Macaca fascicularis: one gene and its partners. The protein of the gene in region 1 interacts with the protein of each later gene in a pairwise test. Links are inferred from orthologs where the notes say so. Each region holds a gene or a part of one and is shown in the gene's direction. Other genes may lie near its edges.

Region 1 (3,500 bases):
GACATTGTTCTAAGCTGTCTACAAATAGTAACTCATTTAGTTGAAAGCTCACAACCACCTTATGAGAGAGCTGTTAATATCACCACTTTACTGATGGGGAAACTGAGGCACAGAGCGGTTAAGTAACTTTGTGGAAGGTCACACAACCAGCAAGTGGTACAGTCAGGGTTTGAACCAGGCAATGAGGAATCAGCATTTGTTATTGTTCCTATTCCTATAGCCTAGCTGGAAGGGGAATGCAGTGCTGGTTTGGAGAACACATCAAGCAGGCCTCCTGTCATTCACTGAGTGAGATGAGATGATGGCCATACATTGCAGCACAGCCAGCTATCCATGGGTCTGCAGCAACAGATCAGTCTTGCAGGGACATGGATAGCCCCGCTAGTGAACATTCACATGTTGTTCAATGAATAGCTAGAGTAAATGGTTGGATCTCATTTAGGGGCATGCTCTGGCATCCCACTTTCACGTCATTTGCTTTCCAGGCCCACTCCAGGATGAGAGTACTGATGTGCCATAAAAGACCAACAGGCAAGATGTTGGAGGGTTCAGGAGCCACCAAAGTTGTGTTCATGCTGACCTGTGGGCATAGCATACAGCAGTGCCAGTTGCTCTGCTAAACCCAGGAGCTGAGATGCTGTGTTGATTTCTACATGTTCCAGGCAAACACTTCCTGAGGATTGTTGGGATTTTCATAACGGATTGGCCCCAGGACCATTGAGCCAGCATGTATCTTTGACAGGTGTACCGAGAGATGACCTTTAAACCTAGGGATGTGCTCCAGATGCAGTTCCAGCTGGGCCAGTAAGAACTGCACGTTTATAGTGCTGTTTTCTCTTTCCTTCCCAGGCGGCCGGGATTGCTTACCACCTGCAGCGTGCTTTCGGAGGCGGCGGCTGGCACGGAGGCCGGGCTACATGAGAAGCTCGACAGGGCCTGGGATCGGGTTCCTTTCCCCAGCAGTGGGCACACTGTTCCGGGTCCCAGGAGGGGTGCCTGGCGAGGAGTCCCACCACTTGGAGTCCAAGACCAGAGAGTGTGGCCTTGACCTGGGAGGCCTCTTGGTTGGGAGCCCTGTTTCCAAGAGCGCAGCAGCCCCTGCTGTGACCTCTGTGAGAGGAACCTCGGCACACTTTGGGATTCAGCTCAGAGGTGGCACCAGATTGCCTGACAGGCTTAGCAGGCTGTGTGGCCCTGGGAATGCTGGGTGGCAGCAAGAGTTTGCAGCCATGGACAGTTCTGAGACCTTGGACACCAGCTGGGAGGCAGCCTGCAGTGATGGAGCAAGGTGTGTCCAGGCAGCAGGCTCTGTGCCATCAGCAGAGTTGAGTAGCAATAGCTGCAACCCTGGCTGTGGCCTTGAGGACCCCCCAACCCCTCCTGGCTCTCACAGTGCCTTTGCCTCAAGCTTTAGCTTTATTCGGCTCTCGCTTGGCTCTGCCGGGGAACGTGGAGAAGCAGAAGGCTGCCCACCATCCAGAGAGGCCGAGTCCCCTTGCCAGAGCCCCCAGGAGATGGGAGCCAAAGCTGCCAGCTTGGACGGGCCTCATAAGGACCCTCGATGTCTCTCTCGGCCCTTCAGTCTCTTGGCTACACAGGTCTCAGAGGACTTGGCCCAGGCCGCCGGGAACAGCTCCAGGCCAGAGTGTGAGATGCATTCTTTACCGGACATGGACTCTGGTTCCTCCAGTTCTCTGGATCCCTCACTGGCTGGCTGTGGTGGTGATGGGAGCAGCGGATCGGAGGATGCCCACTCTTGGGACACCCTGCTCAGGAAATGGGAGCCAGTGCTGCGGGACTGCCTGCTGAGAAACCGGAGGCAGGTGGAGGTCAGTGTCTCCTCCACCTCTGCAGCCCGAGATTGTCGTGAGCTCAGATTAGCACTGGGCAGATGGCAGAAAGTGAGGGGTTCTGGGCTCAACTGCTATCCTCCTAAAAGCTGCAGCAGCTCCTTTTGGAGCTGGCTGAACAAGGATGTTGCTACACTTCTGTCTCTTTGAATTGGACACAGATCTACCCTCCCTTTTGTCTTCTCTGTCACGTAGGTGCTCAGATTTGCTCTCCATTGGGCCGCAGGCTCCTCCACAGGCCCTGGCCTAGGTGAGACGTGGTTAACTCAGCTCAGCTCTGCTTTGAGACAGGAAACTGGGGGCAGGGGAGATTGAGCTGGATGATGTTTAGAAGGGGTTGAGAGATACAAAAATGGGGATGCCCTGTATCAGGGCGATCCTGCTCTTCATCCACTTCACTCATTCCCTTCCATCCTGCTGCAGTGACTGCTGCCTTCCATAGGATCAGGAGACTTCGCTTCTGGTCATTGAACCTCTCCGGCTCTCAGTTTCCGTATTTAGAGATAACACCAACTCATAGGATTGTTCTAAGGCTCAAATGAGAATGTAGCTGCTTTGGAAATAAGGACAAACTGGAGACATCTAAGGCCCAGCCTTATGATGTTGCTGTCTATCCAGTTATCTGAGAGGTGGGTATAGCCAGAAGTAGGCAGGGTTCCTCTACCCACAAAAATTCCCAGAGAAGCCCAGGTAGAGATGCTCTGTGGCTGATCTATTGCCAGACTGTGTTTTAATCCTGGTGGGTGTACATATGTGTGTTTGTGTGTGTGTGTGTGCACATAGAGGTGTGCATGTGTGTGCTTGTATGTGTTTGCATGTGCATGTGTATGTGTGTGCATGTGCGTGTGTTTGTGCATGCGTGTGTGAGTGTATTTGTGGGTGTGCTCATGTGTTTGTGTGTGTGCGCATATACGTGTGCATGTGTGTGCGTGTGTGTATGTGTGTCTGCATGTTTGTGCTGTGTGTGCATGTTTGTGCATGCGTGTGTGAGTGTATGTATTTGTGGGTGTGTGTGCACTCGTGTTTGTGTGTGCATATAGGTGTGTGTGTGTGCGTGTGTGCATATAGGTATGCATGTGTGTGCGTGTGTGTATGTGTGTGCATGTTTGTGCTGTGTGTGTGTATGTGTGTGTGCATGTTTGTGCTGTGTGTGCATGTGTGTGTATGCATGCGTGTGTGAGTATGTATTTGTGGGTGTGTGTGCACTCGCATGTGTGTGGGGATGTGTTCATGTGAGTAGGGAAGTGGAGCACCCACTCATCAGGCATTTGGGAGGAGAATCTGCAGAAGCTCATGCTCATTCCCCGAAAGAGCATCTACCTTCCGTTCTTTATCTGCAGTCTGGTGTTCCTAGCCCTGTCCCTGTTTGCCCTTTTTCAGCCCTCAGGGACCTCAGCCCAGCCCTCTGATTTATTATGCAGAGAGGGATTGAGGCCAGAGCAGAGATGCAGGCTGGTATTCTGGGTGATGTGTGGAGTCTTCCAGTTAGTCATTGCCTAAACCAATGCCCTTGTCTTTCCCCCAAACCCATTCTGAAGGGCCTCCAATATTGGTTGATTCGAATGCATAGAATCTATCCAGTTTCTTAGGCCAGAAACCACAACCATCTTCCACACCTCCCTCTCCCTCGTTCCACATCTGGCCGGCCTC
Region 2 (3,944 bases), on another chromosome or scaffold:
AGCTTCCATGGGAAACTGGGGAAACTCTAATGCAGACCCCGCACTAGGCTTCCCCATAATTTCTTCTCTTTTCAATGGGTGAGGTTCCGCTCCATGGTCCAGCTTCTGGTATCAGACTCCCTCTTTCCCTTAGAGAGACGCGTTTTCTTCTGAGAAGCACTTCAGTCGTTCAAGAAACAGCCGTATGGTACCCTCTTGGGTTCAACTGACCTGGGGTGTTTTTCCTACAGTTCTAGCAAGGGGGAACGAAGTCCTACACTTTGAGGATGGCATAAGGGTACCATCTACTTAATTTTTTCAAAAAAGTAGCAGGTCTCGTGGAAACGCCGGAACGTCACAGAAGACGTGACTTAAACGGAACTTGTGATGGAAATGATTTTCTAAATTAACAATTGCGAGACAAGCAAGGAAATCTCCAGGTTTGCAGATAGCTTGATTAAAGCTCTTCCGGGTGGCAAAATGCCAGTGCAATCAATGGTATGAGTAGAGCGGACAGTGGATGAAATTTGTTGAGTACATCTCAGGACGAATTAGCACTGGACTTTCAGGTATTCTAACTCAATTCTAATCATTCCATTCACTGGATCATTGGATAAGGTTCCGCAGGATCCGGGCGCCAGCTCTGGATACATTACTCATCGGGAGAAAATTTCGAATTTTTCTCTTATCCCTTTCCAGCTTTCCTCAATATAGGATATGAGTTTGTTCTCGACCCCTAACAACATTTAAAGGGAAAGTCGCTCCTAGCAGGCAAAGCGGGGAGGACTTTGCGGCTGTGTTTCTCAAGCCCGTAAAGGGAGAGTAATAATGGTAGGGGGCGTGCAGACTAGCTCTTTCCTTGCCCAATCAAGTGTACAGGAAGATGTCTTTTCACCAATAAAAATAAAGTTCGCTTTCCAGGGGCGGGAGGGTGAGCCACTGCTCCGAAGCGACATTTGAGGCGAGGGCAGAGAATGATTAGAGGGAGGACCAACCCGGGAAAAGGGGCGGGGAGAAGGTGGGAGCAAGTTTGAGCGGCGGCTGGCCAGGCCAGTGGAGGGGGAGGACTGTGTTCCTGTTGTAGTGTCTCTCGCCAATCAGGAAGGCCAGAGGGTGGGCGGGGCAGGGAAGGGGTGGGAAGAGCTCGCAGCACAGCCGGGCGGCCGTCGGGCTTTGGGAGAGAGCGAGAGAGAAATCCGGTTAAAATCAGAGTCGGAGGGAGGTTTAACCAAAGATCGGTTCCGTTCGGATTATTCCTTAAAGGGGACGCGCCATTGTCAAGAGAACGGAGCCAGGGGCCCGAGGGCGGGGACTGGCGGCGCTGGAGGAGCGAGGCAGCTGTACTAGGACTGGGGACGGGTAGGTGTTGACTAGGGAAAGGCGCTTCATTTCACTTTCTCTTCCAGCTCGGGGGCAGGCGCCGGGATGCCCGCCGCCGGCAGCCCAGCCTGGGCGGGAGACGAGGTGGTCGGCCCTCGCCAGCTGCCCTTCCTGGTGGGCGCTGTGGGGAGGCGGTCCAGGATGGCTGGCAAGCGGCGCGGCCCGGGCCGGCGCTCGTAACGGACACCAAACCGCGGCGCAACCCCAGCCTCAAACGAAAGCCCGCCCGAGCTCCGGCGGTTCCGCGGGGACCGCCGCGCGCCCAGCTCTCCCGCGCGTCCCCTTCCCCTTCCGTGCCTGGCTCTTCTCGCGCGTGCCCGGGTCCCCCTTGCTCGCCGCCTTCTCGCGCGTCCTGCTCTGCTCGCGCGCCGCCTAGCCACCGACTCGCGGTAGCCGCCCCGCGGGAAGGAAGGCGGCGGCGGCTGCAAAGGTGGAGGAAGACCGGCGACCACGGCTCAGCTACCCCGGCTCCACCGCCCCGGCTGGGAAGGGAAGGCTGAGGAGCAAACTTAGCGCGGCGGCTGGTGGGCCCCGGCGGGCAGGGCTGCCGGGGACCGGCGGAGCGCGCCAGCCCGGCCGGGCATTGTCCGCCTTTTCCCTTGCTCTGGTCTCTCCGCCCACTGCTCGCGGCCCTGGGGAGGGGTGCGGGCGCTGTGCCCGCGCCGCCCCGGGCCGTTGGCGCACCCCGGGACCCGGAGCTTTCCGGAGCCAGGGCCAGCCCTGCGGCCACCGCCCGCGAGCTGACTCGGCCTGTGGAGTGCCTGCTGCTCTCAGTCTCGGCACCGGGCAGGGTGCCTGGGCGCTGAGCTCTTTACAACTTTTCTTTGCCGTTTGATGGAAGTTGTTGCTTCCGGGCGGCAGGTTCTTTGGGCATAGCCTGGTTTCCTGCGTTCTGGAGAGGCTGGTTTCTAGGGCGAAATGATTGGTTGCTGCTGGTATTTCCTGCCATCCTAGTTTCGTTCCTCGCCACCTGAAATCGCGTTTTTATGGATTTGCAATGATATGGTTGCATTAATCTTTCCTAGGCCAAGATTTGAAAAGAAAAAAGCTGGGGGGGGGGGGCGTTAGGGTGTGTGCTTGTGAAAAACAAGAGTTCTTAGTAGAGCTGAATTTGCCCTTACCTTTGAACTGCAGAAAATACTACCTCGATTCACTGGCTGGCGTTCTTTTGGAAGGGTTGGGGAAAAAAGACACAGCAAAATAGGTTGCCGGGGTCTGTCGGATTGCGGGGGGAAAGGGGTTTTGATGGAAATAAGGTTGGTTTTATAAAATGCTGTGCTGCCTAGGAGATATCGTCTGTAAAGTTGATTCTGCTACTGAATTTATAGGCATTATAATTCGTACCAACAGCTTTTACTATTGATAAAACTAGTATAAGACGTCTTTTCATCTTGAGTATTATCACTCTGCTTAACCTGTCAATACTTGCTGAGGAAATCAGAGATAGCACATTCCTTGTTAGAGGCCTTAGTGAAGAATGTTTTCATAAGCATTCATTTTTGACAGTTTCTCCTTGTGCAATACTTTGTCGAGTACCTACATGTGCAAGTTACAACCGTATAAACAAAGTAGCAGTGGGTGTGTTATTCTCTGGTCTTTTTTCTGCTACTCATTATCAAAAATAGCATTCCATCGTGTCTTTTCTTACACTCTGAATTATTTTGTAAAATTAGTTCTCTAAAAGAGGGAATTTTGTTGAAACATGTGACCCAGTTTTTTTTTTTTTTTTTTTTTTGATTAAAGCAATCCAACTTTTTAAAGTGTTCATTGATTAATTTGCTGTCTAGTAGCTTCCGAGTGGTGTGGAACATTGTAAATTCACAGGCTCAGCAGTAACAATAGAGAAACTACTTGGGAAATTGAAGGCCAATATCAGATAATGTTTGAAAGAAAAATCTATTCTTCTCACAGAATTTAGGAAATGAAGACACACAAAAACAAATTCTTTGGGTTCAAGTGATCATCCTACCCCAGACTCCGTAGTAGCCGGGACTACAGGTGGGCACGACTGCGCCTAGCTAAAATTTTTATTTTTTGTAGAGATGGTGGTTTCACCTTTTAATTTTTTATATAGACGGCTAGTCTCCAACTCCTGGCCTCAAGCGATCCTTCTGCTTTGGCCTCTCAAACTGCTGGGATTACAGACTGAGCCACCGTGCTTGGCCGTTTGTAGTAATCTTGATGGTATCTGGAATTGTTTCACCTAATATTCCTTCTTTTCTATTTTTTTCTTTGATCCATTTCTGTGATAAGGATATCAGGTAAGCAGCTAGGCATAATCTTCCTTCCCATCTCATAGTAAGTAGACGGTTAAACCAAGTTTTTTAAAGTCTGTTTTTGTTTACTTACTAATTTATTTAAACAATAAAAGAATTTCTCAACTTTTAAAAGAGCACATATAAATAAAACATTCAGAAATAATTATCTTTGAAATATCTAGACTGTATTTTCTGAAAAAGACTTTTTCCTCTTTTGTGCTTTCTACATTGTTTTAAACACATTGTTTTATATGAACACATTTCTTGAGTTATGAACTGTTTCTTGAGATCTTTGGGAGCTAGGATTATCCTCCATTTCTGTGCAGA
Region 3 (4,288 bases), on another chromosome or scaffold:
CAGTGGTTGCATTGGGCTAAGGGATGGGGATCGATTGTGGTGATGGTTGTAGAATTCTTTGAAAATACTAAAAATCATTAAGTTATACAGTGTAAATGAGCTAATTGTATAATATATAAATTATATATCAATAAAGTTTGATGCAAAAAGAGATTATTGGGTATTGACTATGTGACATCATCTGTATCATTGCGCTTTTCCTGGTCTCTCTGCCTGTGACAGTCCTAGAAGACAGGTGAAGTCAGCTTGTCCATTTTACAGATTTGGAGACTGAGGCTGAGAGAGAGAGAGACAGAGAAAGAGAGAGAGAGAGAGAGAGTATTTTGCCAGAGTTATACAGCTGCTAGTCTAAGGAAAATGTAGAGATGAAGAGGAGGAGCGAAGGGGAAGTACTGTCAGTTTCTCTTTTCTGTACCACAGTACAGTAGCAGGATGAGAGATGCCTTTGAATTCAAACCTGTGTGTATCCTGACAAAGATACATATTCTATGAAAAGTCTTTGATAATAAGTAGAAAATTTCTATTTCACAACAAGCAAGAAAAAGAATGAGAAAAGGACTAGAAAGTAGATAATGATCATATGAATAATGATTTTCCTTGCTTTTTGCATGTATGTGGAGGACACATGCAGAAGTGACAGCAGGAGTTCGAGACCAGCCTGACCAACATGGTGAGACAATGTCTCTACTAAAAATACAAAAAAAAAAAAAAAAAAAAAAAAAAAGCGCCAGGGGTAGTGATAGATGCCTGTAATCCCAGCTACTTGGGAGGCTGAGGCAGGAGAATCACCTGAACCCAGGAGACGGAGGTTGCAGTGAGCCGAGATCATGCCATTGCACTCCAGCCTGGGTGACAAGAGTGGAAAAAAAAACTATGATAATAAAGAGAGCAAAGCGACCATAAAAGAGAATAGGCTGGAAAAAATAGTCTAAATGGTGGTCTCTTATCTTATAGCTGCATGTGGTTAGGTTTATTTTTTCCATAATAGCAATTTCTAAGGGATGAAGAAGAAATCCTTTTGAGTTTTACTTCCCCAAGGTATATATAGCTACTACAGTGAAATAATAAGCCCAATTTATTCTTTGAAGTATAGTTAATATGTAACAAAACTCCTAAGGCCAGTTGTATACCCAGGGCAATCACCTTCTAACACCTTTATTTATGTACACAGTGGGTAGGAAGGTGGGTGGAGTGCCCCTTCCCAGCTGACACTGTCAAAACAGGAAGCAAAGTTATAATCTCTGTCATAGGAACATGAATAGAGGCCCTTAGTTGTGACTATTAAAAAAACAAAAAACCTACCTAAGGAGTTTTCACTGACTGCAAAGTGTAACTTCCTGTCTGGTGTTTAGAGGAGGTGGGGTTAGTTAGGTTTAGTCAGATCCTCTCATGAGAAAAATAAAAGCCACAAAAAAAAAAAAAAAAAAAGACATCCCAGTGTGCAGTTCGAAGGCTGCTTTTGTTGTCCACTTCCTCCACATCTTTTTCCTTGTCATCTAAGCAGATGTAGGTGATGAGCAGCCCAGCAGCCACCACGTTTCACTGGAAAAAGTGCAGATTGGATTTGCCAGGGCATGTAGCTGTCCAGGCTTGCAAGAGATTACCAGGTAAGTTTGTCAACTTGTGCTACTCCCAGCCAGTGAGGTTTTCATAGGAAGCGCCTCTGGAGACAGGGCTCTCTCGTTCACTTTTGTTAAGTACCAAAGCTTAGGACCAGGCTGGTGACGGGAACAGACAGCCTGTCCTTCCTGCTGCCACATCTGTTGTGGACCCTGAAGAGTAGAGACTAACGCTGTCTGCTTTGCACTTCTCTTCAGGAGGTGATAATTCACTAGAGTTATTAGCTTCTTTGAAAGAAGATTTCCAGGATCCCTACATTTGTGGTAGCAAATGTGCTTCACTTTACCTCCCTGTAGATTTTCAAAATAGCTTACTCTGTGCTGACCGTTTACTGCCGTATAGAGAAGAAGCCTCCTGTGTGGTGTTGAGTATTGGTCGACCTCATCCCATATTGTATTTGATTTACTCTGTTGGCTAAAAAGGCATTTTACTTCTTGAAATATTTAGTTTCAACCTGAGAAAGGGGAGAATAAAACGTTTGTACTTTGGGGGATTGTATAAGCGCTGGGGTTTCTGTTTCAGTGCAGGCTTCTCTATGAGACGTGTATATGCCTAACTTTGTGTAGGGAAAGTGTCATGCACTTTTCTCTCACTGAAGTTTACTTCCGGGGTGACTTAGTTTTTCTGATCAGTTTAGATGTTCATATCTTGTTTAATGTATACATGTGTGTACTGGTTGTATGAACTTTTGGAGAGAAAAATAACCCCAAGTGATGTGTTTTATTTGATTATACACATCATGCATGAATGTTGTCACTATGAAAAACTTTGAGGCTGGTTGGTTTTCTTTTTTAATGTTTTTCTTTTTTGTGGAATTACTCTTTCCCTCTTAATGTTTTCCTTCTTAGCTTCAGCGAATGAGGTGGTAAGGGGTTGTAAGTGTTGTCTCTGTGGAGCAAATTCAAACCAAAATGATTGGAGCAGCTCATATTTTCTTAGTGAATTGGGTGTCTTGAACAAGTGGCATAGAAGATTGGTGTACTACAATTCTCATCATTAGCTGTTACTTCTTTCTTAAATAACCATGTGATCCCAACACAAAATCAAAATACCTCTCAGGGACCTAAATTAAAACTCCATGCGGGCCGGGCATGATGGCTTATACCTGTAATCCAAGCACTTTGGGAGGCTGAGACAGGGGGATCACTTGAGGCCTGGAGTTTGAGACCACCCTGGGCAACATAGGGAGATTCCATCTCTACAAAAAATTAAAAAATCAGTCAGTCATGGTGGCATGTGCCTGTGGTCCCAGCTATTTAGGAGACTGAGGTGGGAGGATAGCTTGAACATAGGAGTTTGAGACTGTGGTGAGCCATGATCATGCCACTGCATTCCAGTCTGGACAACAGGGGGATATCTTGTCTCAAAAGCCTGCATAGGAGCATCTATTGCAGACTTGTGACCTTTCGAAGATTTCCTTTGATTGTGACTAAATCCTCTCTCTTTCCCTGACATTGAGAGTCTCTGTAGTCAGCTAGTCTTCATCAAAGGGTCTTGCTACAAAGGGTCTGGGGTAACCATAGTGTTTGAAATCAGAAGACAACTAGAAGAAAAGTACAAACAAACCTTTAAATAATAAGCAGGCTTTGGCTGGGGGTGGTGGCTCATGCCTGTAATCCCAGCACTTTGGGAGGCCAAGGCGGGCGGATCACCTGAGGTCAGGAGTTTTATACCAGCCTGGCCAACATGGTGAAACCTGGTCTCTACTAAAAATACAAAAATTAGTCGGGCGTGGTGGCGGGTGCCTGTAATCCCAGCTACTTGGGAGGCTGAGATGGGAGAATCACTTGAACCTGGGAGGCAGAAGTCGCAGTGAGCAGCGATCGCACCATTGCACTCCAGCCTGGGGTGACAGAGTGAAACTCTGTCAAAAAAAAAAAAAAAAAAAAAAAAAAAAAAAAAAAAAAAAAAGCAGGCTTTTAAATGAGTAGCTACAGTGTTAAATATATTTAATTGCTGTGCTGGTTGAGTTCTGGTTCATTTAGATAACATTCTTTCCTGCTCTAAGACCAATCAAAAGGCTTTTTAGGAAAATACCATTTTAAAAAATAAAATGTATTTCAGTGCATGTTATTTTAATAAAAATAGAAAACCAACGTGTACATGATTTCGAATTTCACAAGGGCCTAGATTGTCATCAGTTATTACTGAACTGAATTTTTTTTGTGTGTCCATAGTATAGACTCTTTAGTGATCTTCTTAGAAATAAGGACATTAAATTTAATGTTAAAAATAGTATTTTCAGCCAGGCACAATGGCTCATGCTTGTAATCCCAGCACTTTGGGAGGCTGAGGAGGGCAGATCACCTGAGGTCAGGAGTTCAGGCCAGGAGCCTGACCAATGTAGTGAAACATCGTCTCAACTAAAAATACAAAAATTAACTGGGCGTGGTGCTGGGTGCCTGAAATCCCAGCTACTTGGGAGGCTGAGGCAGGAGAATCGCCGGGACCTGGGAGGCAGAGGTTGCAGTGAGCTGAGATTGAGCCACTGCACTTCAGCCCGGGCAACAGGATGAGACTCTGTTTAAAGAAAAAAAAAGATCTCTATCTCTATCACTATCTCTATCACTCTCTCTAGCTTATCTGTCTGTCTGTCTATCTATCTATCTATCTATCTATCTATCTATCTATCTATCTATCTATCATCTATCTATCTCATCTCTATCTC
Region 4 (3,989 bases), on another chromosome or scaffold:
CAGGGTCTCCTAATCAGGAGTTTGGGTTTTCTCCTAAGGGTGCTGGGGCCATGGAAGGCTGGGAGTGAGGGTGTGCCATGGTTTTATTATGTCTTAGAAAGATCCCTCGGCCAGGTGCAGTGGCTCACTCTTGTAATCCCAGCACTTTGAGAGGCCGAGGTGGGCAGATAGCTTGAAGTCGGCAGTGAGGCCAGCCTGGCCAACGTGGTGAAACCCCGTTTCTATTAAAATACAAAAATTAACCGGGCGTGGTGGCAGGCACCTGTAATCCCAGCTACTCGGGAGGCTGAGGCAGGAGAATCGCTTGAACCCCGGGAGGCAGAGGTTGCAGTGCGCCTAGATTGCGCCACTGCACTCCAGCCTGGTCGACAGAGGGAGACTCCCTCTCAAAACAAAACAAAATAAAACAAAACCAAACCTCTAGCTGCCATGTGAAGGGTAAATGAGGGAGGCAGAGTGCATGCAATCAACGCTGTGATCTCAGACAAGAGAATCTGTAAAAAGGCAAACAGGAGAGTTTATTTGAAGATTCAGGATTTGGGAAGCTGAACACAGGAAGAAAGGGGATGGTGCAACACACTTCTGAGCCTTGCTCAGGACTTGAAATCCAGAGTGCCTTCATTTAAAAACTCAGAAACACCCTCAGGGTTGGACCTTTTTTGGCTTGAGAAGCCACCCATTTTTCAGAGATGGGTAACTGAGGCCCTAGAGAGGAAGGGAAGATTTGTTCAAGGTCACACAGGTAGCTGACAATAGGGCTCGACGCCCGGGTCCGGCTCCGCGTAGGGCATGGCGCTGCCTTGCAAAGCAGCCACACCCGCCAGCGACATTCACAACCCACCCCCCAACCCTAGAGGACAGCAGGGAAATCCCACTTTAAGAACCGAGAAACTTTTTACAGCCTTGGAACACGGTAACTTTGGGAGCAGAGGCCACACCAGCTCTGTTTCCCCGCGCGCCCCTTCTCTCATTCCCTATTGGTTCTCTCTACCAGGGGTACCGTCCGGGGACCCTCTGGTCACCTTGTCCTCCGCGCGCTCTATGGCGAGAGGGACCTGCGCAGGCGCGTGAAGGGCCCCTTCAGGGCCCGCGCTTTACGACACTTGTGCGGCAGCGGCGGCGGCCACCCGGCGCTCCTTCGCGACGGTTCGGCCGGGTGCCGCTGGCGGCCGTTGCCAGGGTAGGGGTCGCTTTGCGGCATGGCGATGGCGGAGGGCGAGCGGACTGAGTGTGCTGAGCCCCCCCGGGACGAGCACCCGGCTGATGGCGCTCTGAAGCGGGCAGAGGAGCTCAAGACTCAGGCCAATGACTACTTCAAAGGTGCGCCCGCCTAGCAGGGAGGGTGGACAGCGGCTCAGGCCGAGGGTGCCGGGCCCGCGCGGAACCATGGCAACGCGGAGCTGCAGTCTGGGCGCGGGGCAGGCACTACCAAGTGACTGGGCGTGGGGAGGCCCAGGATGGCGCTACCAAGGGGCGACATAGGGGGCTTCGGAGAGTGATACATAGGAGTGGCGTGCGGAGCGGGTGCTACTCAGTGGAGAGACTGAGGAGGGCGTCACCAATTGTGGGGCGAGAGGGGGACTGGAATGAGGGCGCTACCAAACGTGAGGCCTGTAGAGGGCGCTACCAGGCAGTGACATGTGGTGGGGGAGTGAGTGATGGCGCTACCAAGTGGGGAGTCCTGGGGTGGGTGCCGCCAACTGGGGAGTAGAGGAGGGACAGTCCCAATAGAGGCGGCAATCGTGGGGGTGGGGAATGGATCATTAGATGGGCGGAACAAGGAAGTAGGAGATTTGGGCTGACCGAGGAAAAGGAATGTGATGGTGGGGGCCTTGGGAGTAGGGGTGGGGATCCCCAAGAATAGTGTCACTTAGAATATTGAGAAAGAGTCAAGTGTGGGGCACCCATTCATTCATTAATTCAACAAATATTTATTGAGTACCTGTTATGTGCCAAGGACTGTGCTTGACTCTAGGGATATAGCAGTGAAGGAGAGAGATGTGGTCCTGTCCTTAGCTTGTAATTTTGCAGGTGAACCAGACGTGAAAAAAAAAAAAACATGTAAATAAGTAAAATACTTAAATTGTGATGAGTGCTTTGAAAGCAAACCAGCAGCGTGATGAAGTAGAGAATAAGGGTTGGAGGCTACTTTAGATAGGGTAGTGGGGGAAGGCCTTACTGAGCAGGAAGCATTTAAGCTGAAACTCACAGAGGAAGAACTGGAGAGGAGTGTTCCAGGGAGTTAAGGCAGCCTGTGCAAAGGCCCTGGGGTGGGGAATGAAAGGACACTGGCATGGCTGGGGCTTTTGCTAGTTAGCGGGAGACCAATAGCAAGATGAGATTAGGACAGAGGGCAGATCATGCAGGGTCTCCCCGAGTCATTGCAAAGAGCAGTTTGGAATTTTTTTTTTTTTTTGAGACGGAGTTTCACTCGTGTTGCCCAGGCCAGAGTGCAATGGCGCAATCTCAGCTCACTGCAACGTCCGCCTCCCTGGTTCAAGTGATTCTCCTGCGTCAGCCTCCCGAGTGGCTGGGATTATAGATGCGCATGCACACCACCATGCCCACCTAATTTTTGTATTTTTAGTGGAGACGGGGTTTCGCTGTGTTGGCCAGGCTGGTCTCGAAACCCTGACCACAGGTGATCCGCCCACCTCAGCCTCTCAAAGTGGTGGGATTACAGGCGTGAGCCACCACTCCTGGCCCTACAGGAGGACACACTGAGTAAGTAAATGGCACAGTCTGGACTGGAGAAGAATTTGGGTGTGATCAAACTATGGTTGGGAATGGATGAGATAATCTAGTAAGAGGGTCTAGAGAGGGGACTTAGGACAGATCCCGAGTGGAAGAGGGGGAGGCTAAGGAGGACCGCTTAGTGAGGTGGAAAGGAAGCCAGGAAAGGTGTCGGGAAGGCGGAGAGAAGAGAGCGCTTATAGAACAAGGAGCTGGTGCCCTGAGTCCGATGCTGCCAAGGCGAGCACTGGCCATTGGCTTTGGCTCCGTGGATGCTGATGGTGATGTTGACAGGAGCAGTTGTTGGGGAATGACGGGGCTGGTGCAGCCAAGAGGGCGCTGAAGAGTGAATGGGAAGGGAGGGAGTGGAGAGAGCAAATGTTAAGTGTTAGGAGTATTGGTTCTGAAGAAGAGTGGAGAAATGGGGGAGGGTGGTAAGAAGTGAACGTGCGCAGGAGTTCAAGAGCAGCCTGGCCAACATGGTGAAACGTCGTCTCTACTAAAAAATTAGTCGGGTGTGGTGGCACACACCTGTAGTCCCAGCTACTGGGGAGGCTGAGGCAGGAGAATCGCTTGAACCTGGGAGGCAGAGGCTGCAGTGAACCAAGATCACGTCACTGCATTCTAGACTGGGCAACAGACAGAAAAAAAAAAAAAAAAACAACATGCAGTGTCAGGGGAAGATGGATTTTTTGTAAGGATGGAAGAGAGTAGAGTCCAGTAGAGATGGAGAATTGATTCTGCATGTGAGAGGGGAGACTTGCAGCAGCAAAACCCTGGAGAAGGTGGAGGTGGAAAGGATCTGGACCCCTGGAAAAGAGTTGGCCTCCAGCAGGAGCAGAAGCAAAGTATGGAGAAGTTTGATCTGGTGGGAGCCATGAGAGGGAGGTAGGACCAGTGAGAGATGAGGCCAGAGGTAGAACCTTGGAAGTCAGATTGGGGAATGTGGGTGTCATCCTGAGGGTGGTCGATGCCATGGGATGTTTCAAGAGTGGGGTGCCGTGGTTCAGTTACCATTCAGAAAAGATCCCTGGCTGCCATGCAGAGACTGGACTCCAGGGTAAGACAGGAAGGAGGCTAGATTAGTGGACAGGTGAGGGGTGGTGATCGCCAACCAGGCTGGAGGGACAGAAATAGATTCAAGAAGTGTTTCAGAGAGGAAGTGAGAGTGGCTGCCTGGAGAGAGGGTAGACGGTACTCCAGGCAGAAAAAAAAAAAAAACAGGTGGCAAAGGCCCAAAGGTGAGCGGAACCTGG
Region 5 (3,500 bases), on another chromosome or scaffold:
AGTAGAATTTTGGAATTAGAACTAGAAATACCTTCCAAGTTTCCTACTTTTGTTAAACTAAGAAATACCTATAAATTGTATTTTTAAAAGAATTTGTAGTAATAAAGTTTCCTAGTGGTATCTGACTTATTGCATTATAATTTTAAACCTTTATTTCAATATAATGATAAAATGCTTGATCAAAACTCTTATTAAATTCTAAGTATAATAATCATGATAGCTACTTTTTATTGAGTGCTATGTGCCAAGTACTGGGCTAAAATCTTCATGTAAGTTGTATATATAAAAATAATATATATATACACACACACAAATATATATACATATATATACATGCACATAATCTTTACAACTAATCCTTTATAAGTATTATATCCATTTTTTAGATGAGAAAACAGGTTCAGAAACATTAAATAATTTACTCAGGATCACACGGCTAATAAATAGCAGAGTTGGATTACTGGATTCAAATCCAGATTTTTCAGACTCCAAAGCCCCATGAATTTTGACCTCAAAGCCAGAGAATGCAAATCAGGTTCAACTGTTCAACACTGAGCAACTAGTATTTGCTTGAATCTATGTATCAAGAAGAATTCTGAAACTTCCAGGAGTAAATTGGCAGTATGTTCTGTGAAACATGGTTGGTGCAAGTCAGAAGGTGTGTGTTTGGCTCTTTTTCCCCATCTCTAAGCATTATAATATGTGATAACCGTTTAAGTTCAATTTAAAAGTATATTAGCATTCTGGCAGAAGGTCACATTGGGCAGTCTGCATTTCTGCTAAAGAGGCATTGAGAGGGACCTTTTATTTTTCTCTTCTGTAGACTTATACACATGAACAACAGGTTCCTTGTGCCTAAACTTCTAAGAACATCCTCTAGTTCTTCAGATCAGTATCATAAGACCTCTTTCACTGGGAGAAGGGATCTTGTGGGAGAGAAGTGTTATAGTCAACATATATTTATAAGAAGAAAGGTGCACTAAAGTTCAGGCTCGTTATTAAAAAGTAAATGGATATGTTTTTCCCCCACAGTTTTCAAACCTAAATGTGTATTCACAAGTAAAGAGTTACTACTCCCTTTTAAGGTTTTGTTTAACGCATTAGCATAAAAAAAAAGGAAAAAAGTTATTTCAACTAGGTTATAACTTCAGCTACATTTTAATAATGAAGGAATGGTTTAACGACATTTCCTGGTTCAAATTACATGTATTCCTAGATGGTGGTAATTAGAATCTTAGCTGACTTTCTTAGATGTTTATGCCCTTGACACGTGAGTTTTGTATTTCTTTTAAAATAAGGATTTGGTGAGTGAAAAATTGAAGACCCAACAAATGAACAATGATCTTGAAAAATTAACTCATGAGCTTGAGAAGATAGGGTTGAATAAGGAGAGACTCTTACATGATGAGCAAAGTACTGATGACAGGTGAGTACTAAGTCTACTTGGCAAACAGTTGAAAAAAATTTTTTTTTTTTTTTTGCTCATACATTAGTTATTTTCTGTATTAGCTATAGAAAACATTTATATATTTCACCCTATTTCTGGTTCCTTTCTTCCCTTAAAGAAAGTTGTGTGGCCGGGTGCGGTGGCTCACGCCTGTAATCCCAGCACTTTGGGAGGCTGAGGCGGGCAGATCACCTGAGGTCGGGAGTTCGAGATCAGCCTGACCAACATGGAGAAACCCCATCTCTACTAAAAATACAAAAAAATTAGCCGGGCATGGTGGTGCATGCCTGTAATTCTAGCTACTCGGGAGGCTGAGGCAGGAGAATCGCTTGAACTTGGGAGGCAGAGGTTGCGGTGAGCTGAGATCGTGCCATTGCACTCCAGCCTGGGCAACAGGAGTGAAACTCCATCTCAAAAAAAAAAAAAAAAAAAAGTTCTTAAGGAGAAAAGAGGAATCATAGACAATCTAAATACAGATACAAGAAAATAAAAACCTAAAATGTTACTATATAAATACAGTTATAAAATAGGAAAACAGGATGCTACCCAGGTAGCAGAAGATCAGAGGCTATAATTGACTGTGAAAACAATAAGACATTAACAACAAACCAACCTCCGGCTCATCAAACACAGTCAATTAAGCAAGTTATTTTTTATCTGAATCATGTGCTTAAATACCTCTGTTCTTTCATTTATTTGCCACAATGTTGACTTAAAGATAAATGGAGGAAAAGTATGAAACAAAGGAAAAGAAAAGCAACTGAGGTATAAAAATAATGTGGAAAACTAAAGCGTTAAAAGCTGGATATGAGTTAAAAAATTAACTCATATGCCTTTTAATTTTAAAAATGATCAGTATAGGTTTAAAGAAAATATATATTCTCTCATGGTAATTACAGTCTATCAAATAGAGTTAATCTGATTTTCAAGTAGTCTATTGTTTAGCATCCAGTCAGCTCCATGAATCCAGCTGGAATAGAGGTTGTATATTGTTAAGAACATTATTTTATGTAGACTAGATTTTCATTCCATTTCTGTAATTATATAACTTATATTTTATCTACTCATTATTACTGTTCCAGTATTTATATTCTATATTAAATGTATATTGGAAAAATTAATGGTGATTTGTTCATGTAGTTTTGAGAATGTTCAAAGTAAATAGGATAGATTGATACTTAAAAAGTTAGTTGTGTAATAACAGAGATATAATTTGAGGCATATATTCTAGCAATCAGTTCAAGTCAAGCAATGATTATTGAATTAATTATACAGATATTTCATGAGGAAATATTTTTATTTGAATTAATCAGATAGTTTTAAGTGCAGATTTCATTGACTGTCTTTTAATATAGATACTGAATATGCATCCCCTCTTTATTCAAACAGATTTATTATCTACTATATGTAAGACACTGTACTGCATGTTCTTTGCAAAAGAAAAAGTAGAGTACACCCTATAGTGCTAAGTGACCCTAGGTTCATATAAATTTATGAACCCAGCTCTGGGTGGACCCTTTATACAGTTTGGCTCCTCGTCCCAAACCTTAATTCATACAGTTAGCCAATGTTAATTGAGCTCTTCTTATCTGCTGATCATCTAGCATCGAAGTAGTGATAATGTTTCAACTGAATCTTAAAAAATGACAGAGGTTTACAAGGTGGGAACAGTGGGGAAGGGCATTCCATGTAGACAAAAGCATTTGTATAAAAGCACAAAAATGTGCTGAGCAATTTTTAGAGTATATAAAAGATGGATTACAAAAAGGATGAATTTGTAAGCACAGAGACAGGCTAGGAAGTGATTATAATAGTCTAGGCAACATGTGATGGCATTCATTATTTCCACATATTTATTTACATATTAGGCATGGAGGTAAGGGTATATGTTGAACTAAAGCTTTTTGGAAATAGAAAGTGGCTTGAACTACTAAACCAGCTTCTTTCTCAGCCAGGGAGTTAGTCTTTATGTCACAAAAAAAAACCCAGAAGCTCACAGACATATATTCCTTTAATGTGCCATTCCCTCCACCTTGGGATTTAGGTGTATCAG
Region 6 (4,164 bases), on another chromosome or scaffold:
CAACTATCTGCTGTGTCTTTGTGGTGGAAGCTTAGTTTTCCCTTCAGTTTAATTTGATGATTGTTTTCGTTCATATTCGGGGAAGAGTCACTCTGTTGGAAGAAGTCCCCGAGCCTGGCATCCTTCAGTTTTCCCTATGCTGAATGTGAGGTTTAAACTTCTTTTTCTTTGTAATATACTGTTTCTGAAGGCCAGAGGCCGCGGCCAGTGGCACCGTGGCCTCTCTCTCCGCCAAGGGTGCCTGGGCTTTGGACCACCCGGGTGCCAGAGGTGGTGGAAGACCCAGTCAGTTGTTCCTTGCAACAGGTCTCTAAGCTTGTAAGTTACAACATAAGGTGGGTGGGGTCGGAACCCCAAAAAGCTGGCGTCCGGGACACCCCACCCTCAGGTTTTCTTTACCAGACACTGGGGTCCTCGCTGCCGCTGCCGAACTTCTCAATCATATTACTTTATTGGACTTAAATGGAAATTTCTTGACGGAGGGAACCGGGTTTGTTCTCCCAGGCTTCGCGCCGCAGTCAAGCAGAGCCCCGGGGCAGCTCGCTCACAGCGGAGGAGCAACTTTGGAGTTTTACGCCCTTTCCACACCCCACCCATGGACTGGAAAGGATGTTCAGTTACTCGCGGGCTTGTTGTCTGATACTGGGATGGAAAGTCACAGTCCGCAGGCTGGAGTGAGACGCGGGAAGATGCCTGGTCCTTGCCTCGCGGACTCGGCAGCCGCGTCCTTCGAGTCTGTCCACTGAATTGCGGAGGGCTCGCCCGTGTGCGGGGACCCGAGTGCCACTGCCTGGAGCGTTACCTTGCGCTCCAGCCTCCAGGCTAGCTAATACCTGGAGGGCAGGGCAGGGCTGTTCCCGCTCTCACCCCTTGCGGAAGGATGGCAGGATCCGGCGCAGCGACGTAGCAGCGGGAGAGCACAGCGACCTGCGTCTCCAGTTTCTCCTCAGGACACAAGGCTGACTTCACCTTCCGGACAGCTGCAAAGCCCCTGCCACAACCAAACCAAACTAGCGCCTCGGAGAGGGGCTTCTGGAGTCGGTTCACTGCAAGGCGTGGGGAGTGGAGAGAGGGAAGAAAGGGGAAGCCTGGGGCTGGGTGTGCGCGCGTGGGAGCGCGCCTCGGAGCGCCCCGCACTCCCCCACTCCGTCCCCGGGGGCACTTTGGGAAGGAGGGAGTGGTAGTCGCGGGAATGAGGGAGAAAGAGAAACCCTCTCAAACTGACGCCCCAAACAGGTCCGGATTTAGAATTCGAAGCTAAAGGCTGTTAGAAATCGGGACTCCTCGGCCTCCTCTGCAGCCCCTCCTTTCCCGCCCCGAAGCCCGGGCGGTTTGCTGGCTGCCTGCTTCCCCGCCCCCGGCTCAGAGGTCTCTGGCTGGCGGGCGCCCCGTCGGCCGCCGGCTTCCTCCTTGAAACCCGCCGGCGCACATGAGGCCGCTGCCCCCGCCGCAGGCGCTGGCGGCCCCCTCGCTGTGCCCGTGGTGATGCCATGCCCCGCCACCACGCGGGAGGAGAGGAGGGCGGCGCCGCCGGGCTCTGGGTGAAGAGCGGCGCAGCGGCGGCGGCGGAGGGCGGGGGGCGCTTGGGCAGCGGCATGAAGGATGTGGAGTCGGGCCGGGGCAGGGTGCTGCTGAACTCGGCAGCCGCCAGGGGCGACGGCCTGCTGCTGCTGGGCACCCGCGCGGCCACGCTCGGTGGCGGCGGCGGTGGCCTGAGGGAGAGCCGCCGGGGCAAGCAGGGGGCCCGGATGAGCCTGCTGGGGAAGCCGCTCTCTTACACGAGTAGCCAGAGCTGCCGGCGCAACGTCAAGTACCGGCGGGTGCAGAACTACCTGTACAACGTGCTGGAGAGACCCCGCGGCTGGGCGTTCATCTACCACGCTTTCGTGTGAGTACCCGCGCCCCCTGCTATGCCCGCTCCAGGGGACCACTGTCCCTGGCCCCCTGGGGCGTGCTCCGCGCTCGCGCCCTTGGGCCCCGCGCGCGTGCACACGTGGTGGCTTTTATTTCTTCGCACGTGTTCGTGGTCTTCCTTCTGGAGCCTCTCCCTTCCCCCAGCCCCACTTCTCCCATCTCTACAGCTTGAACCATTTCCCCGAGGACACCCAATGAACTGCCCGGCAGCTTCAGGCTCCCGGGGCGGGAGCCAGGCAGACGCGGGACTTAGGCTGCGCGGATAATTGGGAGCAATTAGGTCCCAAGATACGTAAACTTCAACCGAACGGGGCGCCCGGGAGCTAGGGAATGCAAAGGGAGGACAGGCGCCTGTGTGAGGCTTGAGAGTACATTGGGGAGGTTAGGAGGTGATGGCTGGGTAGGACCGGGAGGAGTGAGGTGGTACCGAGGGCTAGGTCCTCAGTCCTAGGGGCGGAATAGGGGAAGCTGCTACTTGGTAGAGAGAGCTGCTAGGTTTTAAGTGCGCCCGGAAACACGCCTCGCCACCACCCAGCCACCACCAACGGAAAATCTGTCAGTGCATGTAGCCCTTCCTGCCACGGAGAAGGTGGCCAAGGTCTAGAGGAGGCCAGCAGGCCAGGCGAAGCAAGGCTCCCGCGCTGCAGCGGGTTGGGAGGCAGCGGGGAACCTGGGGCGCAGGAACGCGGGCAGAGGTGCGATAGCAGAAGCGCAAATGGGTCGCCTCGGACAGAGATCAGGCAGTGGATTAAGTCCCCATTTGTGGGGCGGAGTCAAAGTGTGTGTGTGTGTGTGTGTGTGTGTGTGTGTGTGCGTGTGTGTGTGTGTTTTCAGTAAGCCTTCTCCATCTAGCAGAGAATGCTTAATGAGAAAATGATTGGAAGCAAATGTTTATTTTTCCCTTAGGCATTTAAAACCTTTCAGTGGCTTTAAAGTTTACTACTGTTTTTCCCACAAAGTCCATTCATTCAGTCTCCTATTAGAGTCACGTTTATCTGGGCATTTTAAGGTTGTTTTTATAATGTTACCTCATGTCTAATTCTTTTTTTCTTCCTTTTCTCCTTTTGCTTCCTCTCTTTTTAGTATCATTATTTCTGCTTCTTTTTTGTTAAGATGAAATATAAAGACATCAACCTTAGAAGACCAGTAGAGAAAGTTGCAGATACTTGCTGATACATTCCTTGTTTCCTAGTAAAATAAGTCTTGAGCACACGGACTAGGTTTCTTTTAGAGATAAGTTGTGTCATCCGTACATAACTCTCTCCGGGGGTGTAGAATTAGCATCAACACCAGAAACGTGTTTTGAAATAACGTGGAAGAAGGGCTGGTTTTGTAACTAGGTGAACCTGGAATTCGACCACATAGGAGTCAGGAAATTGGTGGAGTCTACAATCTGTGGGTCTCTGGTATCTGGAAAATTTTACAGTTTCTGATTGATGTGAACATGTAGCATTAGGCGGAATATTCCAGCCAACTTTCCGTTTTACAGTGCACACAAGGAGAACGGTTGTGTTGCATCAGTATTACATCAAAAAGTATAACTTTTATGTAAGATTCACATTTATTTAAATGTGGTTAGGATAATGATAGAGAAATGCTACTGACACTTTTCATATTAATCTCCTCTGAACTGATATATAATTAAACATATTACTTAATAAGCCTGGTAAATTATTTTGACCTGTCAGAATATACTGAAATAATTTAGCAATTATGATACTCAATTTGGTAGCAAATATGTACTGTATAGATTATGATTTTTTCTTTACAACTGTATGCTCAAAATATGTATGGTTTTGAATTTTAAGTATGATACCATTTCTAGCCTTTCATTTTTGGTATATTATGCATTGTATATTCAGACAGAGTTAAAGAAAGCCTTGGTTGGTGCACATACTTTGCATCTCCTAACTTGTTCTTGAACATCAATGAGAACTTGCAACGCAACATTTTCTTTTCCATGTGTTGGTGTTAACAGGTTTGTATGGGCTTACAGAATTTTAAAACATTGATAAATTATTTTTCCAAAGGTTCAAGGTTGTATACTTCTCTATCCACCAAGCTTTATCAGTCTAGCAGTATCTTTAGTGGTAGATAGGAAATAAATTACGTACTTAATAGATGTAGCTTATGTGAAGTTTTGCATTATATATTTTAGAGTCTGAAACTGTAATGCCTCAGCAATTAGATAGGGGTGCTAGATCCACATTAGCACAAAGAGGGAATGGATAGTATCATCTTCTGGGAGGA
Region 7 (4,263 bases), on another chromosome or scaffold:
TAACACTGGAAGAATTAGTTTAAATGCATGCACTTCCCAATATTGTTACTGTTTTCTTTGGTATCTCACTAACATTGTAGGTGGGGAGGTGCTGGGGTCTATGGTAAAAAATAAATAAGTGCTTTATTTTTTGCTTTCTAGTGGATTTCCCTTATTACCTAATGAGGGCAGCAGCTTACAAGTTGATTCTGTTCAATTCAACAAATGTTTTTTTAGTATCTCCTAAGCGCCTGCTATATGTACAGAGTGAAGAAAGAACGAACCCTACCCTTAGAGAGTTTACCGTGTGGCTGTGTTGATTCACCTTCTGAGAAAAAATGTTATTTGCTTTCCTCAATTTTTTTCCTATCTATCAAAAGTAAACGTAGGTTCAAACATTCAAACCTATGAAGGCCTAAAACGAAGAATCACCTTCAGTTTGCTGTGTAAATTTCATTAAGTTTTATTTTAAAATATTCATTTAAAAATACAAACATATAAACTCATCAGACCAGGTTCTAGTGATCTGAGATAGAAGCATGGTCCAAACTACTTGATTGCCTTTTATTTTTGTTTTGTTTTAATCCAGGTGATCAGGTCTTTATGGGGAAAATCCCTGGTGTTTTTTCAAACAGGAAGGGCCCTCCTCCCTCTGAATGCCCGCAGTGCCGCCTTGTGCACCTTACAGAACAAGGAGAAAGTCAGTTTCTTCAAACTGTTTTCTAAAGAGCGTTTCCATTCGGGTTCCTGGTGATTCCACCATCTTTTCTTCACAATAGTGACGGTTCTGGAATTTCTACACAGTTTGAGGGGCTGACGGGGTAGACCAGGTGACTGGGAAGGGGCATGGCACATGACAAAAATTCGAGGAAACGTCCAGTTTCTTTTTCAAGGAATGCGCACAGGGGAAAACGCAAGTCCCCACGCCATCACGGGCCCTCCGCCGCGGCCGGACGACCCCACTCTCGGGAATGACTGGGCAGGGCACCTGGCCTCAGGTTCGAGCGGAGCCTGCGCTGAGAGGCAGGAGTTGGGTGGATGAACCACTTGTAGGGTCTGCTCCCAGCTACCCAAAGCGAAAGGGTGGGCGAAAAAGCATTTGCAAAAGAAGAATACGTTAACCTCGCCAAGGAACGACCCCCACCCACCCTCCAGCGCCCAAGGTTTCCCACGAAGAGGTCGCCGTCGCCCTTCTCTTCTCCAAGCCGGGCAGAACCTGTAAGGCATCACCACCTGCATCTCAAACCAACTAAGCAAGTGACGCTCCAAAGCCTCCCTAAACACCCTCTCTCCCCCGCATTCCAAACGCAACATCAAGGGCGAAAAGAGGCTGCATAAGTCACGTAGAAAATTAGACCGCCTCTTTCCATGGCGATAATCGAATTAGCCTCAAATTAAACGTGAAATTGGCCCTCTCCGGCTGTGGGGACAAAGCCCCTATTGTCCTGCTCGGGTAGCGGCAGCAGCAGTGCCCACCCCGCCCCGGCCAGCCTTGTCCCCGCCGCTGGGAGGATGAAGTCCGGGATGGGCCCTGGAAAAGCCTCGGCTGGAGAGGACGAGAACGCGCCCGAGGCTCGGCTCCCTGGCCGAGCGAGCGCCGGGTGGGCAGCTGCGGGGCTCGGGGCAGCAGGAGAGGGCTGGCGAAGCCGAGGGAGCGGGCGGGAGGGGGGAGGGAGGAGGGAGGCAGGAGTGCGGAGGGCGGAGGGCGTGCGGGAGGGAGTCCGCGAGTGCGCGTGTGTGTGTGTGCGCGCGCGCCCGCCCCGCGCGCTCCTCTCCCCGCCCCTCGCCCCCTCCCTGCGAGCGCCCTCCTCTCCTCCTTCCCCCGCCCCCCGCGCTCCCGCCCAGCCCCCGGAATCAGTGCAGCTGTTGCCGTGCAGGCTGCGGATTCCTCCAGTCCCTCCCTCGGCCGCCTCTCCTCCCGGAGCTAGCGCGCAGCCCTGCGCAGCAGCGCCCACTGGTCCCGTCCTGTGAGCCCCGGCCCCAGCCGCGGACAGACCCGCGGAGTCGCCTCCCGGCCCACCCGCCCGGCCGCCGAGGAGCGGGAGGAGGACGGGACCCCGGCGCCCCCACCCCATCCCCGGGAGGTAGGTAGGGGGCCCGAGGTAGGGAGATGCCAACTCACTGGGGCTGCCTCCCGGGCAGGCTCCGCGGCGTTGGACTGGCGGGAGGAGGGGCGCGGGCCCAGGGCCGGAGAACGCGGCTGCCCGCCTGCCCTGCGCCCGGGGAGCCGCGTGGGGGCAGGGAGGCTGCAGAGCCCGGGCGGGGGCGGCGCGGGGAGCCCGGGTCGCGGGTGCTCATTGGTACTCGGGTGATGCGGGACGAGGGGCGGCAGGCTCTGCGGTGAGGCGGCCGCAGATCCGCCGTGCGCACCGCTGCCGCCCGGCCCCGGCCCCGGCCCCAGCCCCGGCGATTCCTCCTCACTGCCTCCGCCGTCGCCTCCCTGCAGCCGGGCGCGGCGGCCCCTGGCGCGGAGGTGGGTGCGGAGCGGGCAGCAGGAGGGTCTATTTTCTGGTGCCCTCCCTGTGGCCCCGCGGGTGGGGAGCGGGGGCGGCTGTGACAGGGCCGGGCTCTGCGCGTAGCGGTGCAGGGGATGCGGCCAGGCGTGGTCCCGGCTGCGCCGCGCTGCAGCTGAGCTGGAGGCGGCGGCCCCGCGCCCCCACCCCCGCCCAGTCCCAGCGCTCGCTACCCTTCTGCGCCCGCCCCCCCGCCCTTTCTGCCGTCCCCACTCTCCCAGGGCTGGGCGTGAGCCGCCTCCGGGCGCCGAGCCGCCGCTGCGCCCGCCCTTCAGCTCCAGCCACCCTCTCTTCAACAGGTTTGTCTCAGCGCGGGGACCCTCCGGGCCTGCCTTGGGTAGGTGGGCTGGAAGCCCCTCTCGTCATCACCCCCCACACCACGCCCACGGCCCTCTTTTAGGGGGCGCCTTCTCTTTGTTTTTGTGATAGGAAGGGTGCCAACTGCTGCCATCAGATGGGGAGGGGGTGGGGATCAGAACGCAAACCTCTGTCCATTATTTTTCCAACCCAAAGCCAGGCCAGATAGTGAGGACGGGGTGCGTGTGGGGGTGCTTTGGCGGAGGAGAAAATTGAATTCGGTGGGGTTTATTTGGGAGGGGATGTGCTTTTTTGGCAAGATGGATGGCTCACGGTGCCCTCGCCGTGATGCAGCACAATGCAGCAGTATCGCAGCTTCCTTGGTTCTCGCTGGCGGGGCTTGGCGGCCGCTCGGCGCCTGCGGCCCCCGCCCGGCCCCACCCAGGCCCGGGGCTGCCCTTGGCCGAGGCCTGAAGCTGCCACTACGTTGTCCTGCAGCTTCTGCTGGATGTGGCGTCAGGAGGACCAGGTCACCTAGGTGTGAGCAGGGGAGAGTCTTCTCTTTTGGGATCATCCCTCCTGCACCTCTCGTTGGGCTGCGCTCGTTCGGAGGGGCCCCCTGCAGCACCAATGCAGGCAGAGGGGAGCCGGCCTGCGGATGCGGATCGGAATCTGATCTGCGACCAGGGGACCTGAGCCATAGGGAGGGGCTGCAGGAAGGACGGGGCCCAGTGGTGTGCGGAGGCAATGGTGCAGTCAGTGTGGGGAGTCGCAGCGTTATTCTGTGGATCATCCATAATGTATAACCACAACCCAGCTATGCATTAATTTCTTTCTACATGAAAAGTTGGTGTTTATTAATTGGACCTTCGCAACTGTGACATTACAGTACCTCTTCTGTCTTTGGTTAATACCAAGCATGCATTTTTTCTATAGGAAACCATTTTATAAATGAAATGATTAATGTGTTTTAGTTTTTATGTCACTAAGACATTTATAAGTATGTTAAAATTCAGTAGGTTGTTTTAAAAGGAATGTATATGTTTTTTAATGGATAGTAAATGATTCCTTTAGCCTGTATTTGTTTTGTTTTCATCGTTTGCTCTTTCTAAGTCAAGTACAATTGCATTATTTGGATGCTTTATTAAGGATTATTAGGTGTATGAGTGTCATGATGGAGGGTAAGTTGGTATTCAGATTTCTGTTGATTCAGATAGCCGAGTTTAGTGTCCAGGCGTAACTAATGGGATTATGACAGTAACAGGCTGCGTTTGTGTTTGTTTATATGTATTTTTTGTATACATATTTTTCACAGCTGTGACTGTGGAGAGGGTGGAGAAGGGCAGACCACCAAGGCCTCTTGACTGGTATCTAGTTAGGAGGAGATGGTTCCCAATGTTCTCATGTTTGGTCTCGGCCAGGACACAGGGAATTTCCCTTCTAAATGCCATTTCTATAATTCATTTATTCCGTG

Evidence for each region.
Region 2: the proteins of DISC1 (region 1) and FRYL interact in a two-hybrid assay, tested with the Homo sapiens proteins (2 studies listed by BioGRID and IntAct). The link is inferred for Macaca fascicularis from reciprocal best matches to the Homo sapiens genes DISC1 and FRYL.
Region 3: the proteins of DISC1 (region 1) and UTRN interact in a two-hybrid assay, tested with the Homo sapiens proteins (2 studies listed by BioGRID and IntAct). The link is inferred for Macaca fascicularis from reciprocal best matches to the Homo sapiens genes DISC1 and UTRN.
Region 4: the proteins of DISC1 (region 1) and PPP5C interact in a two-hybrid assay, tested with the Homo sapiens proteins (2 studies listed by BioGRID and IntAct). The link is inferred for Macaca fascicularis from reciprocal best matches to the Homo sapiens genes DISC1 and PPP5C.
Region 5: the proteins of DISC1 (region 1) and CCDC88A interact in a two-hybrid assay, tested with the Homo sapiens proteins (2 studies listed by BioGRID and IntAct). The link is inferred for Macaca fascicularis from reciprocal best matches to the Homo sapiens genes DISC1 and CCDC88A.
Region 6: the proteins of DISC1 (region 1) and KCNQ5 interact in a two-hybrid assay, tested with the Homo sapiens proteins (2 studies listed by BioGRID and IntAct). The link is inferred for Macaca fascicularis from reciprocal best matches to the Homo sapiens genes DISC1 and KCNQ5.
Region 7: the proteins of DISC1 (region 1) and SPTBN1 interact in binary tests that used the Homo sapiens proteins (3 or more experiments, as listed by UniProt). The link is inferred for Macaca fascicularis from reciprocal best matches to the Homo sapiens genes DISC1 and SPTBN1.

The regions. Positions count from the first base shown.
Region 1 is NC_088375.1:17,386,538-17,390,037, reverse strand, and holds part of DISC1 (disrupted in schizophrenia 1 protein), read left to right. Parts: intron 1-849; coding exon 850-1,829; intron 1,830-3,500. UniProt on the Homo sapiens protein: Involved in the regulation of multiple aspects of embryonic and adult neurogenesis. Required for neural progenitor proliferation in the ventrical/subventrical zone during embryonic brain development and in the adult dentate gyrus of the hippocampus.
Region 2 is NC_088379.1:48,354,044-48,357,987, reverse strand, and holds the start of FRYL (protein furry homolog-like), read left to right. Parts: upstream 1-1,144; 5' UTR 1,145-1,338; intron 1,339-3,944. UniProt on the Homo sapiens protein: Plays a key role in maintaining the integrity of polarized cell extensions during morphogenesis, regulates the actin cytoskeleton and plays a key role in patterning sensory neuron dendritic fields by promoting avoidance between homologous dendrites as well as by limiting dendritic branching.
Region 3 is NC_088378.1:48,552,103-48,556,390, forward strand, and holds the start of UTRN (utrophin), read left to right. Parts: upstream 1-1,488; 5' UTR 1,489-1,513; coding exon 1,514-1,607; intron 1,608-4,288.
Region 4 is NC_088393.1:54,379,203-54,383,191, forward strand, and holds the start of PPP5C (serine/threonine-protein phosphatase 5), read left to right. Parts: upstream 1-1,189; 5' UTR 1,190-1,199; coding exon 1,200-1,320; intron 1,321-3,989. UniProt on the Homo sapiens protein: Serine/threonine-protein phosphatase that dephosphorylates a myriad of proteins involved in different signaling pathways including the kinases CSNK1E, ASK1/MAP3K5, PRKDC and RAF1, the nuclear receptors NR3C1, PPARG, ESR1 and ESR2, SMAD proteins and TAU/MAPT.
Region 5 is NC_088387.1:66,479,896-66,483,395, forward strand, and holds part of CCDC88A (girdin), read left to right. Parts: intron 1-1,298; coding exon 1,299-1,426; intron 1,427-1,565; coding exon of another isoform or gene 1,566-1,668; exon of another isoform or gene 1,669-1,918; intron 1,919-3,500. UniProt on the Homo sapiens protein: Bifunctional modulator of guanine nucleotide-binding proteins (G proteins). Acts as a non-receptor guanine nucleotide exchange factor which binds to and activates guanine nucleotide-binding protein G(i) alpha subunits.
Region 6 is NC_088378.1:102,410,311-102,414,474, reverse strand, and holds the start of KCNQ5 (potassium voltage-gated channel subfamily KQT member 5), read left to right. Parts: upstream 1-1,364; 5' UTR 1,365-1,490; coding exon 1,491-1,888; intron 1,889-4,164. UniProt on the Homo sapiens protein: Pore-forming subunit of the voltage-gated potassium (Kv) channel broadly expressed in brain and involved in the regulation of neuronal excitability.
Region 7 is NC_088387.1:67,390,502-67,394,764, reverse strand, and holds the start of SPTBN1 (spectrin beta chain, non-erythrocytic 1), read left to right. Parts: upstream 1-1,463; 5' UTR 1,464-1,580; intron 1,581-1,871; exon of another isoform or gene 1,872-2,063; intron 2,064-2,101; coding exon of another isoform or gene 2,102-2,661; intron 2,662-2,758; exon of another isoform or gene 2,759-2,829; intron 2,830-3,122; coding exon of another isoform or gene 3,123-3,293; intron 3,294-3,374; coding exon of another isoform or gene 3,375-3,499; intron 3,500-4,263. Other genes in the region: uncharacterized protein, read right to left, coding at 868-1,195, 2,102-2,661, 3,123-3,293, 3,375-3,499. UniProt on the Homo sapiens protein: Fodrin, which seems to be involved in secretion, interacts with calmodulin in a calcium-dependent manner and is thus candidate for the calcium-dependent movement of the cytoskeleton at the membrane.